Linked DNA regions of Xenopus tropicalis. The protein of the gene in region 2 interacts with the protein of the main gene of each other region in a biochemical or structural test. Links are inferred from orthologs where the notes say so. Each region holds a gene or a part of one and is shown on either strand. Other genes may lie near its edges.

The links.
Region 1: the proteins of gabarap (region 2) and atg4b form a complex in vitro, tested with the Homo sapiens proteins (3 studies listed by BioGRID and IntAct, with this or other methods). The link is inferred for Xenopus tropicalis from reciprocal best matches to the Homo sapiens genes GABARAP and ATG4B.

Annotation. Positions count from the first base shown.
Region 1 is NC_030681.2:125,732,687-125,736,083, forward strand, and holds part of atg4b (cysteine protease ATG4B), read right to left. Parts: intron 3,213-3,397; coding exon 3,133-3,212; intron 2,302-3,132; coding exon 2,132-2,301; intron 1,428-2,131; coding exon 1,349-1,427; intron 514-1,348; coding exon 368-513; intron 174-367; coding exon 117-173; intron 1-116. UniProt on the Homo sapiens protein: Cysteine protease that plays a key role in autophagy by mediating both proteolytic activation and delipidation of ATG8 family proteins. Required for canonical autophagy (macroautophagy), non-canonical autophagy as well as for mitophagy.
Region 2 is NC_030679.2:153,328,921-153,332,576, reverse strand, and holds part of gabarap (GABA(A) receptor-associated protein like 1), read left to right. Parts: intron 1-2,042; coding exon 2,043-2,121; intron 2,122-3,265; coding exon 3,266-3,384; intron 3,385-3,656. UniProt on the Homo sapiens protein: Ubiquitin-like modifier that plays a role in intracellular transport of GABA(A) receptors and its interaction with the cytoskeleton.

The DNA.
Region 1 (3,397 bases), on a different chromosome or scaffold from region 2:
CAAAGTTATAAAAAAAAACCCATTACATTTATAAAGTGATATATAATTTATTATAAAAACAAAACAATAATCCTAGGAATTAAATGTGGGTTAATATTTTCTCAAATTGCACCAACCTTTTTAATTTGTTGGCACCAATCCTCAAAGTCTTCTTGAGATCTACAGAAAAAGCCCTGGGAAGAAATAAATTAATTTAAAGCTTAAATGTTAGAGATGGATACTGGCTTCTAACATGCTACTGTTTTCTAGCAGAATTGTGTATTTCGCAGACATATACATACTGTGTGAAGGCTTCATAAATTGAAATCACTTCTATGAAATTGCATTTGCTGGAGCTAACACCTGCTCTTGGTCTCCTGGTACTCACCACAGCGATAGAAGGGTCAATCTCGGATACATGCATTCGACATGGAGGGTGCTGACAGTGGAAACTTTCGTCTTCTACAAAACAGCAGTCACTGGGCTCCACCGCAAGCTGTGTAGTGTGAGGGTCCAGGTAGATCAGCTCATCCCCTAAAAGAGACAGCTAAACATTGCAGTGAGTGTAATAAACTTGTGGCCCTATTTCGAATGACAAAATTCCCAAGACTTAACCAAAATTCCACTTTTATGTCTAAGAAAAATGTCAAAAACAGCATAAAATGGATACCAGAGATTCCCCAAATTAAGCACACTAATACATCAGGGATATGTTAGAGGGTTAGTATATTTCAAGTTTCTGTTTAGAGTGATACAAACAACTGTATAAAGCTGTCTGCTCCTTCCTTTTCCACTGCATGGCTGTGTCCTACTGTAGCTTGTTACACTTCACCACAATTATATATTAGTTTTCATAATAGCTACTACCCTGTTGTTCTCTCTGTTAGCAGTAAAATAGCTTTTAGTTAAGGATTCTCTCTGGGCCATGCAAAAGTGTATCTATGATGCTCAGATGAGAAAAGCCCTTTACCTTTTTCAATAACTAAGAAGTTGAAAGATTATTTTCTCTGAAAGGCCTAAATATATCAGGGCTGAAATGTATTTAGTTAGCAGGCACCCCTGGCTAGGTACGTTGGTATGTCAACGTAAAAAGATCAAAGGGTTTGACAACTTTTCAAAGATGGTGTTCAAGAGCCTATCAAATGTACATCTAAAGATTCCTGACCATAGTATAGCAAAAGTCAAACTAAAATCCTTGGAGCTACATTTTGTATATCTACTGCCCCTTCAAGCAAGCAAACAGTTGGGGTGCACCTTTTGGATATGAATATTCATTCATATCTTTCTGCCAATTACAGTATTAATAGTACTGATAATGTGGTGGAGTTTTCATAAATGTGTGTTGCTGTTAGTGGCAGAGCACCCTTACCTACATATCCTATGAAGTAATGAGCACTGTTGGGTCGGCCACCAATAACCCCCAGGGACTGAGGTACCATAAAGCAGTGCTGTGAGGTGGGCAAAGACATCAATTAGAAGACATTTTTTTCCCAAGGAAAATATTCATAAATAGATGCATTTCTCCCTATACTGAGAATACACATTACTGCATAAGAAAGTGTACGTTTTTAATTCTCTGACTGGCTACCAAATAGGAACATTCTAAAGAAACCTAAGCTCAAGAGAAATGTACAAATAACTTTAAAACAAAAAATACATAAATCTTAGGCTAGTGTTACATTTGACATTTCTCAAGTCATAGTTCACCCCCTGGGGCTGATTTAAAGGAATACTGCCATGGGAAAATATGTTTTTTTTCAAATTGCAGCAGTTAATAGAGCTTCCCCAACAGAATCCTGAATTGAAATACATTTTTCAAAAACACAAACAAATTTTTTCTATATTTAATTTTGAAATGTCACATGGGGCTAGCCATATTCTTCATTTCCCAGGGTAAACAGTGTCATTTAGAAATAAAAAGTATACCATAAAAATCATGTTAAAGTGTAAAACTGCACAAGTGCAATTGCCAATCACATCCAGTCAGCAATTGGCTCTGGGACATGTACACCAAGTTAGAAATATGAAAGCAAACATCTGATCTGTGGCACTGGTGCAATTTAGCACCTATGTTTGCAAGGTAGCCCTGAGTTGAGATCTTACGGACTTGTTTGCTATAATGAAGTTTTTAAGAAAACCTTTAAACATGTACCTTTAGTGTTTCAATATAGGCTTCATTGATATCACTTAGTCCCAGCCGAAGAGGTATGAGTAGCACAAGAGGCTTCCATAGGGAGCAGCTGGGGTCAGAGACGCCTGTATAGCCATTACAAAGGGCCCCAGCCTCGGAGCTCTCATTGGTTCCAGCTCTGCATAATCTGCCTAAAGAAAAGAAAATATTCTTCCATGATTCATACAGCTCGTATAGCGGCCTGTCAGGGAAGAGCACATAAACAACCCTTCACTGTTTTGAGATAAAGTGCAGATCTCTCCAGCATCTGTTAAAAAGCATTAAAATTCACAATTTCACACCCAGGGGCAGAAACAGCCTTGTGTGACACTAAGCAAGACATACACAAAAGGCAAAACCCACACAATAAGGCCAGTCACACATAGGAAATTTTAAAAATTCAAGCTCTCCATTTAACAAAATTCAGAGAAGTGCCAAGTGGGCTGGAGCATTTTGTCAACCGCTAACAGCAGTGGTCAAAATGAGGGAGGTGGCAATGTCAGATGCAGCATGTAAATAGATTGCTAGCCAGTGGCATTGAGACAGAAAAACACAATATACAGCTGACAGCCAATAACTATTTGGGTTTCAAGTTTTATTTGAAACTTTTTATATTTTGGTGACAGGTCCCTTTTAAAAACACCAAAGTCACAAATATACCAACCCTTGATTTATTAACACAAATAAATACAAATGAAAAGGTATTGAAATCCCAATACATAGTACCAAGGTACTAAAAGTGAAGCCAGTGGTGTATTGTTTGGGGGCCGGGGTCTGTTTCCTCTTTAGTTGTGCCACTTGGTGCACTTTTCTCTTTAGGCAGTAACAAAACAGCCCTAAAAGCTCATGTGCTGCAGAAAAACACTCATGTTTGCAATAAAGTCACTTTTTAATGAGGGTTCTGGCACAAATGGCTTGGAATAACAATAATTCTGGCACAGGGGTAAAAGAAATGGCTATTTTACCTCTTTCCATTCACTTACGTATCTCATCCATCACAACTGTGTTATCCATAGCTATATGAACAGCAATAGAGCTCCACTGGTCAAAAACCGCAAGTTTCCTTCAGAGAGAAAGTACAAATGGAGAAAGATGTGACATGAGAAAATCACGCATACTTTTTTTTTTTTTTTATTTAAGAAGTCCTTTATTCTGAGGTGAAAACTGACAAAATAAACATAAAGGATATACAAGTTAAATTGGTAACGGCAAGTAGACTTGCCATTGCCGAAAAGGGAAGGAGAGGTG
Region 2 (3,656 bases):
AGACTGGGGGTATAACATGGGGAGAGAGAGAGAGACTGGGGTATAACATGAGGAGAGAGAGAGAGAGAGAGAGACTGGGGGTATAACATGGGGAGAGACTGGGGGTATAACATGGGGAGAGAGAGAGACTGGGGGTATAACATGGGGAGAGAGAGAGAGACTGGGGGTATAACATGAGGAGAGAGAGAGACTGGGGGTATAACATGGGGAGAGAGAGAGAGACTGGGGTATAACATGGGGAGGACTGGGGTATAACATGGGGAGAGAGAGAGACTGGGGTATAACATGGGGAGAGAGAGAGACTGGGTATAACATGGGGAGAGAGAGAGACTGGGGTTTAACATGGAGAGAGAGAGAGACTGGGGGTATAACATGGGGAGAGAGAGAGACTGGGGGTATAACATGGGGAGAGAGAGAGACTGGGGGTATAACATGGGGAGAGAGAGAGACTGGGGGTATAACATGGGAGAGAGAGAGACTGGGGGTATAACATGGGAGAGAGAGAGACTGGGGTATAACATGGGGAGAGAGAGAGACTGGGGGTATAACATGGGGAGAGAGAGAGACTGGGGGTATAACATGGGGAGAGAGAGAGACTGGGGGTAAACATGGGAGAGAGAGAGACTGGGGGTATAACATGGGGAGAGAGAGACTGGGGGTTTAACATGGGAGAGAGAGAGACTGGGGTATAACATGGGAGAGAGAGAGACTGGGGGTATAACATGGGGAGAGACTGGGGGTATAACATGGGAGAGACTGGGGGTATAACATGGGGAGAGAGAGACTGGGGGTATAACATGGGAGAGACTGGGGGTATAACATGGGGAGGGAGAGAGAGACTGGGGGTATAACATGGGGAGAGAGAGAGACTGGGGGTATAACATGGGGAGAGAGAGACTGGGGGTTTAACATGGGGAGAGAGAGAGACTGGGGTATAACATGGGAGAGACTGGGGTATAACATGGGGAGAGAGGACTGGGGTATAACATGGGGAGAGACTGGGGGTATAACATGGAGAGAGAGAGACTGGGGGTATAACAGGGAGAGACTGGGGTATAACATGGGGAGAGAGAGAGACTGGGGTATAACATGGGGAGAGAGAGACTGGGGGTTTAACATGGGGAGAGAGAGACTGGGGTATAACATGGGGAGAGAGAGACTGGGGGTATAACATGGGGAGAGAGAGACTGGGGTATAACATGGGGAGAGACTGGGGGTATAACATGGGGAGAGAGAGAGAGACTGGGGTATAACATGGGAGAGAGAGAGACTGGGGTATAACATGGGGAGAGACTGGGGGTATAACATGGGGAGAGGGAGAGACTGGGGTATAACATGGGGAGAGGGAGAGACTGGGCGTATAACATGGGGAGAGGGAGAGACTGGGGGTATAACATGGGGAGAGGGAGAGACTGGGGTATAACATGGGGAGAGGGAGAGACTGGGGGTATAACATGGGGAGAGGGAGAGACTGGGGGTATAACATGGGGAGAGGGAGAGACTGGGGGTATAACATGGGAGAGGGAGAGACTGGGGGTATAACATGGGGAGAGGGAGAGACTGGGGGTATAAACATGGGAGAGGGAGAGACTGGGGTATAACATGGGAGAGACTGGGGGTATAACATGGGGAGAGGAGAGACTGGGGTATAACATGGGGAGAGGGAGAGACTGGGGGTATAACATGGGAGAGAGGAGAGACTGGGGGTATAACATGGGGAGAGAGAGAGACTGGGGGTATAACATGGGGAGAGAGAGAGACTGGGGTATAACATGGGGAGAGAGAAGACTGGGGTATAACATGGGAGAGAGAGAGACTGGGGTATAACATGGGGAGAGAGAGAGACTGGGGGTATAACATGGGGAGAGAGAGAGACTGGGGGTATAACATGGAGAGAGAGAGAGACTGGGGGTATAACATGGGGAGAGAGAGAGACTGGGGTAAATGAGAACATTAGAATATTCATGGCGCAGCACAAGCTGTAGCCAATCAGAGGATGTAGAGCATTAGGCGGCGCTAATATCCACGCGTCTCATTGGCAGGTTATTGTGGAAAAGGCGCCCAAAGCGCGAATAGGAGATCTGGACAAGAAGAAATACCTGGTTCCCTCTGACCTCACAGGTAGGTGTGGCCTCCTCCCCTCCCCCTGTAGGGCAGTATCTGGGGTATGTGGGTAGGGGTATTATGGGTTCCAGTAGGGCAGTACCTGGGGTATGTGGGTAGGGGTATTATGGGTTCCAGTAGGGCAGTACCTGGGGTATGTGGGTAGGGGTATTATGGGTTCCAGTAGGGCAGTACCTGGGGTATGTGGGTAGGGGTGTTATGGGTTCCAGTAGGGCAGTACCTGGGGTATGTGGGTAGGGGTATTATGGGTTCCAGTAGGGGCAGTACCTGGGGTATGTAGGTAGGGGTATTATGGGTTCCAGTAGGCAGTACCTGGGGTATGTTGGGTAGGGTATTATGGGTTCCAGTAGGGCAGTACCTGGGTATGTGGGTAGGGGTACTAAGTGTGTGGGGTGCCAGTAGGGGCAGTACCTGGGGTATGTGGGTAGGGGTACTAAGGTGTGTGGGGTGCCAGTATGGCAGTACCTGGGGTATGTGGGTAGGAGGTACTAAGCGTGTGTGGGTGCCAGTAGGGCAGTACCTGGGGTATGTGGGTAGGGGTACTAAGGTGGGTGCCAGTAGGGCAGTACCTGGGGTATGTGGGTAGGGGTATTATGGGTTCCAGTAGGGCAGTACTTGGGGTATGTGGGTAGGGGTATTATGGGTTCCAGTAGGGCAGTACCTTGGGTATGTGGGTAGGGGTACTAAGGTGTGTGGGTGCCAGTAGGGCAGTACCTGGGGTATGTGGGTAGGGGTACTAAGGTGTGTGGGTGCCAGTAGGGCAGTACCTGGGGTATGTGGATAGGGGTACTAAGGTGTGTGTGGGTGCCAGTAGGGCAGTATCTGGGGTATGTGGGTAGGGGTATTATGGGTTCCAGTAGGGCAGTACCTGGGGTATGTGGGTAGGGGTACTAAGGTGTGTGGGTGCCAGTAGGGCAGTACCTGGGGTATGTGGGTAGGGGTACTAAGGTGTGTGTGGGGTGCCAGTAGGGCAGTACCTGGGGTATGTGGGGTAGGGGTATTATGGGTTCCAGTATGGCAGTACCTGGGGTATGTGGGTAGGGGTACTAAGGTGTGTGGGTGCCAGTAGGGCAGTACCTGGGGTATGTGGGTAGGGGTACTAAGGTGTGTGGGGCACTGACTGTCTCTGGTTTCCCCCCAGTGGGGCAGTTTTACTTCCTCATTAGAAAGAGAATTCACCTTCGTGCTGAGGACGCTCTCTTCTTCTTTGTCAATAATGTGATACCCCCAACCAGCGCCACCATGGGGCAATTGTACCAAGTAAGTGCTAGGGGCAGTCTCCTTTCTTGGGTTTTGGGGTGGAGAGGGTAGAATGAGGGGTAGGTAAGTACAAGGGGTGATAGGAGAGGGTAGAATGAGGGGTAGGTAAGTACAAGGGGTGATAGGAGAGGGTAGAATGAGGGGTAGGTAAGTACAAGGGGTGATAGGAGAGGGTAGAATGAGGGGTAGGTAAGTACAAGGGGTGATAGGAGAGGGTAGAATGAGGGGTAGGTGAGGAGCTGGGCTTGGGGGTAGGTGAGGGGCAGGAACTG